Canis lupus familiaris: one gene and its partner. The protein of the gene in region 2 interacts with the protein of the main gene of each other region in a pairwise test. Links are inferred from orthologs where the notes say so. Each region holds a gene or a part of one and is shown on either strand. Other genes may lie near its edges.

Evidence for each region.
Region 1: the proteins of KPNA3 (region 2) and TSSC4 interact in binary tests that used the Homo sapiens proteins (3 or more experiments, as listed by UniProt). The two-hybrid records come from large-scale screens. The link is inferred for Canis lupus familiaris from reciprocal best matches to the Homo sapiens genes KPNA3 and TSSC4.

What each region holds. Positions count from the first base shown.
Region 1 is NC_049239.1:46,929,428-46,933,710, forward strand, and holds TSSC4 (protein TSSC4), read left to right. Parts: upstream 1-1,475; 5' UTR 1,476-1,763; intron 1,764-2,489; 5' UTR 2,490-2,593; intron 2,594-2,763; 5' UTR 2,764-2,783; coding exon 2,784-3,746; 3' UTR 3,747-4,008; downstream 4,009-4,283. UniProt on the Homo sapiens protein: Protein associated with the U5 snRNP, during its maturation and its post-splicing recycling and which is required for spliceosomal tri-snRNP complex assembly in the nucleus.
Region 2 is NC_049243.1:2,072,280-2,075,253, reverse strand, and holds part of KPNA3 (importin subunit alpha-4), read right to left. Parts: intron 2,747-2,974; coding exon 2,652-2,746; intron 130-2,651; coding exon 31-129; 3' UTR 1-30. UniProt on the Homo sapiens protein: Functions in nuclear protein import as an adapter protein for nuclear receptor KPNB1. Binds specifically and directly to substrates containing either a simple or bipartite NLS motif.

The sequences.
Region 1 (4,283 bases), on a different chromosome or scaffold from region 2:
CTCTTCAGAGCTTCTAGGTGTTCCGTGGAGAAGCTGGGGAGCAAGGTCTCAGCCACTGTGTGCGGAGTCCACCCGACCCACCCCCGTCCTGGACCGGGGCCCAGCTGCCTCCTCCCACCCCCACCCCCTCGGGAGTGCTGGGTGATGTCACCATGAGCTGAGTGCAGGCACTGACCTGGTGTATGCTGAACTGGCCCCTTGAGGCCATGAGGGCCTGGCTGGGATTCATGTGGAGGGCTGACAGCTGCCTCCCTTGGCGCTTGTTTTGGAAACTGGCCCCAGCCCTACTTTTGGGGTCATCAGGTCTCAGTGAGGTCTGCCCCTCCTGCCACACCCCTCCACCTTGTGTGCCAGGGTGGGTCCCTGAGAGAACAGAGTGGCCCAAGGAGCAGCCCTGCTTACTTGCCCCTGCACGACCCTGGGGATCCTGGCCTGCAGGCACAGCACAGCCAGTCTGTGCTGGGGAGACCGAGACTGGGGGCGCCCCCAGGAGGGCGGTTCCCTGGGGCGCCCTCGCACAGCGGCACACTGCAGCTGCAGGCGGGGCTGGGGGGCTGGGGGGCCCCCAGGAGGGCAGGTCCCTGGGGCATCCTCACACAGCAGCACACTGCAGCTGCAGGTGGGGCTGGGGGGCCCCCAGGAGGGCGGGTCCCTGGGGCGCCCTCGCACAGCAGCACACTGCAGCTGCAGGCGGGGCTGGGGGGCCCCCAGGAGGGCAGGTCCCTGGGGCATCCTCACACAGTGGCACACTGCAGCTGCAGGCGGGGCTGGGGGGCCCCCAGGAGGGCGGGTCCCTGGGGCGCCCTGGCACAGCGGCACACTGCAGCTGCAGGTGAGGCTGGGGCGCCCCCAGGAGGGCGGGTCCCTGGGGCGCCCTCGCACAGCTGCACACTGCAGCTGCTGGCGGGGCTGGGGGGCCCCCAGGAGGGCGGGGTCCCTGGGGCATCCTCGCACAGCGGCACACTGCAGCTGCAGGCGGGGCTGGGGGGCTGGGGCATCCCGACCTAGCTGCCCGGTGCTGCCGCAGGCCATGCTGGGCGGCCCCGGAAACGAGGGGTCCGCGGGCTTCCCGAGCACTCCAGGACCGCGGCCCCGAGAGACGCGGCCAGACCGGCCGTCAGGTGGGCAGCACCGGCCGGGCCGTCGGGACCGCGAGCCGAGCGCTCAGACGGAACCCGGCCCCCCCCCACCCCCTCCCCCTCCCCCTCCCCCGACCCACGAGCGGGCGGCCCGCACTTCCGGCCTGACCGGAAGCACCCGGCGACGATGCCGCGTGCGACGATGCACTTCCGGCCTGAGGCGGCCGCTGTGCTCGCGACTTCCAGCAGGCGGCGCTGGGGCCCCGGGAACGCGGCGCTGGCCGTTAGTCCTGGAGCATTCTGGGAGTCGCAGTGCTGCCTCTTCCTCCTCCTCCTTTCCCTCCTCAATTCCGGCTCTTTGCGCGAAGGAGAGCCGACGTTTCCGGGGAGGGGGGAGGCTAGGGAGAAAAGCGAGGACGCATGCGCAGGGGCTACGGGACCCGACAGGCCTCGGGAGTAGCGTCCCGGTGCCTTGTGGGAGGTGTAGTTCTTCAGGTGCGGACGCCGAGGCGCCGGGCCGGCGGAAGACTCGGTTTCCCAGGAGGCCGAGCGCGGCGAAAGATGGAGGCGGCCCGGCGGCTTTGAGCCGGTAGGCTTGTGGCGCGGGAGAGAGGTCGCCTTTTCGCAGCCTCCTCGCCCCACATCCCCGAGGTGTTTCGCGTCTTTGGTGGCTCCCCGAGCCTGGTGAGCCGCGGCCCGCGTGCGGCCAGGCCCCCGCCGGGGCGGAGACAGCCGGCGCCGGCTTCCACGGGCGGCCGAGCGCGCCCCAGCCCTGCCCCGGCCGAGCCGCCGGCCTCCGCGGAGAAGCCCGGGAGCCGCCGCGGCCGCTCGCTGTCGCGGGGCGCTGTGCCCGACCCCGGGGCGCCCGCCGGCCCGGCCGCCCCCCCAGGTCGCGGCGGCGCCCCGCCCTCCGGAGCTCCTTCCCTCGCGGGGACGTGCCAGGAGAGGCTGCTGCCGGAGCCGCGGGCTTGCCCTGCCCGCAAGGATGCCCCGGGCGGCCGCTGACCCCCCACTTCCCCGCGGGCCTGACGGTCAGACGCGGAGGCCCCGGCTGCAGACCCGCGTGGAGTCCCGGGGCGTCTGGGCAGGCAGGGGCAGCCCTTGCCTTGCCCAGGCAGGTGGCGCAGCTGTGCCGAGCAGCTCGTGGACGGGCCGCCTGGTCGAGCGCCGTCGTGGAGCGCAGAGCCTGCTGCTGCCCCCGGGCTGGGCCCTGGCTGCTGCCTGCCTAACCCCCAGCGGGCCCCTAGACTTAGCTCAAGAGGGCTGAATGAAGATCTTCCCGAAGGGTCTGCGTCCAGGCCGGCCTGGGCCTGGGCCCCGGAAACCCAGGACCGCCCCCTGGGGGTCGCGGTACCGCTTTGCCCTGGTGCTCCCTGACGATTTGCCCTTCCCACCTTCTGCCCGCTACAGTTGAGCAGCTAAGCGGAGCCGGGACTGAGGCCACCGGGCGCCTTTGCCGGGACTTCACCCACCAGAATTCTGGTGTCTGCACAGACGTTCATCAGACAACGGAGGTGAGACGTTGAGGGGGGGGCGGGTGTGGGAATCTCTGTCCTTTGTTTGGTAGGACATAGCTCTTCCTTCTGGCCCTGCCGCCTGCCCAGGGACTGTGGGTTTATAGGAGGGGCCCGTCCTAAATGGGTGCAATCCTCAGAAACGAACTCTTTGGGCTGTTCTGGTCTAGGTGTGGTGGCCCTGGGACACATGTCTGAGGTAGGGGTAGGAGAGCCCCTGGAAGCCGAGCGAGGAACAGAGGATGACGCTCTGCCTTCCGACACCGTCTCTCTCAGTGACTCGGACTCCGATTTCAGCTTGCCTGGCGGTACTGAGATGGAAGCTCTGCCCCCGGGGGTGCTATCTGGGGAGGCCCAGGGGGACTCAGACCCCGATGAGACCCCTTTGCCTCCAAAAGGCCTCCCCACAGCCTCAGTACAGCCCTTCCACCTGAGAGGCACGAGCTCCACCTTCTCCTGGCGCAGCCGCAACATCTTTGACTGCCTGGAGGACGCAGCCAGGCAAGACCCGGGTGACCATGGGGATTTCATGCAGCCACCAGCATCCTCACACCAGCGTCCAGGAGAGGGCCCGGGCAGGGCCAGTCAGAGCCCTGCCCCCACGAAGTTGCCCCCCATCCCTGACTACATGGCCCACCCTGAGCGCTGGACCAAGTACAGCCTGGAAAACGTAGCCGAGGTCAGTGAGCAGAGCAATCAGGCTGCCGCCCTGGCCTTCCTGAGCTCCCAGAGCCTGGCTGGCCCCAGAGACTACATGCCGTCCTTCAACCAGGATCCCTCCAGCTGTGGGGAGGGAAGAGTCATCTTCACCAAACCGGCCCGAGCTGGCGAGGCCAGGCCTGAGAGGAAGAGGGCCCTGAGGAAGGCAGGAGAGTCAGGCAGGGGTGCCCCTGGGGACCTGGGAGCAGCAGGGGGCGAGGGCCCTGTGGAGCTGGCCCACCTGGCAGGGCCTGGGAGCCCAGAGGCTGAGGAAGAGAACAGCCCCCACGGGGGGCTACAGGAAGTGGACGTGCCACAGGGGGCTGCCCATGCTAGGTCAGCGGTGGGGCCCCCAGTGGTGGAGACTGTTGGCTTCCATGGTAGCAGGAAGCGGAGCAGGGACCATTTCCGGAACAAGAACAACACACCTGAGGCCCCAGGTGCAGAGATTTGAGAGAAGAGACTGCCTGGCTGGCGTTTCCTGACCATGCGGTGGAGGAGGGCAGCCGGGGTCACTGGCCACTTGGAGTGGAGTGGAGCTTGGGGCCCCCCGCCCTGGAAAGGGAGCCAGCGGTCTGCCAGTGTGAGGCGCCAGCAGCCTGGGCTAGGGCTCGGGATAGTGGTCTCTGAAGCAGACAGCTTGCCAGTGGACAGCAAAGACCCTGGCCCACCACATGCCTGTGGGGCCACAGTAAAGGTTTTGGGTGTTGCTTAGACTTTGTGTGTGTGTGTTTGTGTAGATCCTGCGCCTCGGGCCATTGTCTGCCATGCTGTACACCCAACACCCGGTTCTCTCATTTGAGCCTCTTCAACTTAATCTCCAGTGGGCATGGAGGCTTTTTAAATGCTTGCCTGGGTTCACCAGCAGGCCCTCTTTCCAGCTCTCCTGATCCAGAGCAAGAGGTGGAGAAGGCCCCAGGCCCTCGAGGGGGCAACCTCACAGTCCCAGGTGTCCAGCTTCTGCTCCCAACAGGGTGATGAGATGGGTCTC
Region 2 (2,974 bases):
AATTGGGAAAGATGCTGCACTCAACTGAACTCAAAAATTAAATTCTTTTGTTTGAAGGTTGGCTGTTGGGTCAAAGTTGTAAGTACCTCCTTGTGTTGCTTCGGGAATGAGGCTAGGATCTTCATCAATCTATAAAAAAGCACACAAAAAATATCCTTATTATGTTAAGATACTAGATGTGGTATAAGCAAATCTTTCTTCTTATGAGAGAATTCTTTACAAATGTTGTAATCATTCTTTCTTCTTTTTGAAGATTTTATTTATTTGACAGAAAGAGTTTCAGAACATGAGCAGGGAGGGGGGGGTAGGAGAGGAGAGGGATAGGCAGGCTCCCCAGGGAGAGGAGAGGGATAGGCAGGGGCCACACATAGGGCTTGAGCCCAGGACCCAGAGATCATGACCTGAGCCGAAGGCAGACACTTAACCAACTGAGCCTCCCAGGTGCTCCTGTTGTAATTATTCTCTATGTTTCAATCAATAAATAAAAACAAGTAAATCAATAATAATATTAATAAATTTAACTTTTTTTTTGAGGATTTATTTTAGAGAGAGAGAGAGAGAGAGAAAGAGAGAGAGAGAGTGGGTATGAGTGGGGGGAGTGGCAGAGGGGGAGAGAATCTCCAGCAGACTCCCTGCTGACTGTGGAGCCCAACATGGGGGTTCAATCTCACGACCCTGAGATCAGGACCTGAGCCCAAATCAAGAGTCCAAGAGTTGGATACTCAACCAACTGAGCCATCCAAGTCCCCCCAGTAATTTAACAATTTAATTAAACTGAACACATATAAAAATTGCTCCATTCTTTTTTTTTTTTTTTTTACCTCCTCCCTCATCCATGCCTCATTCTTAAGTTTCTGTATCTGTAGATTTATTTTACTCATCTCAACACACATCATTTCTATAATTACAGTTGACCCTTAAACGACACAGGAGCTAGGGAAACCAATCTCCTCCCCAAAGCAGAGTCCAAAATCCAAGTATAACTCCTGACTCCCAAAACTTAACTATTAATAGCCTACTGTTGACCGGAAGCCTTACCAATAATATAAACAGTTAACATATTTTGTACATTATATGTATTAAATACTGTATTTATTTTTAGAGATTTTATTTATTTATTCATGAGACAGACAGAGAGGCAGAGACACAGGTAGAGGGAGAAGCAGGCTCCATGCAGGGAGCCCGATGCGGGACTTGATCCTGGGGCTCTAGGATCACGCCCTGGGCTGAAGGCAGGTGCTAAACCGCTGAGCCACCCAGAGATCCCCAATACTGTATTTTTAAAAGATTTTTAATTTATTTATTCATGAGAGAGACAGAGAGAGAGGCAGAGACACAAGCAGAGGGAGAAGCAGGCTCCTTGTAGGGAACCTGATGTGGGACTCGATCCCAGGACCCTGGGATCACGACCGGAGGTGAAGGCAGACGCTCAACTGCTGAGCCACCCAGGTGTCCCTAAATACTATATTCTTATAATGAAGTAAGCTAGAGAAAAGAAAATGTTACTAATCATAAGAAATAGAAAATACATTTTTTGGAAAAGATTCTATTTATTTGAGAGAGAGACAGAGAACACAAATGGGGGGAAGGGCCAGGGAGAGATACAAGCAGACACCCTGCTGAGTCGGGAGCCCCACATGGGGCTCAATCCTGGGACCCTGACATTATGACTTGAGCCAGTCAGACGCTTAACTGATTGAGCCATCCAGGAGCTCCAGAAAATACGTTTATAGTACTGTACTGTGTGTGTGTGTATACACACCTATATTTGATATATATATATTTTACATACATATACCTGTATTTGATATATATATTTTTTACATACACACACACACCCTATTTGATTATTTGATAGTTTGGTAATTATATATATATATATAAAATTATATATTATATAATAATATATATAATATATATTATATATTATAATATAATAATTATATATATATATATATATATATATATATATATATATATATATATATATATATAATTCTACCTATAAGTAGGCCTTTGCAGTTCAAACACTTGTTGCTCAGGAGTCAACTGTAGTATTTCTTCCCATTTAACAGATTAAAAAAATTTTTTTTTCTTATTGCATTTGTAAAGTAATCTCTATGCCCAAGGTGTGGCTCAAACTCACAACCCTAAGATTAAGAGTCTCATGCTTTACTGAATGAGCCAGCAGGTGCCCCTTCAAAGAACTGTTTTTATATTTTTACTTTATAATGATGTTACATACACAGTATTTAAACAAATGATTGATGGAAAATAATCATTAATTTTTTTAGATTAAAAATAACTGGAAATGCCACTTCAAGAGTATCTGATAGAAATATATTATAAAATTGTCCTATTAATGATAAAAGGAAAATTCTTAGTAAATTTAGAGTATGTACATTTTTTTTTTTTAATTTTTTTATTTATTTATGATAGTCACAGAGAGAGAGAGAGGTGCAGAGACACAGGCAGAGGGAGAAGCAGGCTCCCTGCACCAGGAGCCCGATGTGGGATTCAATCCCGGGTCTACCAGGATCGTGCCCTGGGCCAAAGGCAGGCGCCAAACCGCTGCGCCACCCAGGGATCCCCCAGAGTATGTACATATTTTAATGTACATGCAGGCATACCATACTTTAATGTATACTTACATCATCACCAGAGAAATATTGATCTATGATTTCAAAAGCTAATTTATATATGTCTTCATTTTCATGTTGCTGTAAAACTTCGATTTTCTCCAAACCTGGTAATAAAAACGAACAAAATCAGATTCTTAGGCATATACACATATAAAAACTGTGTTCATACTAACAATGGAAAATCTGAAAGAACTCAGAATACCTTCCCACCATTACCCAAAGATGAGTTTTCTAAAAAACAGATAAAACCCTGGGCTGCTCTGGTTGAGGACGAGCATCTCACGAATTTCTTCCTCTTAGAAACCCTTGAGGTACCCTGGTATCTGAGGCAG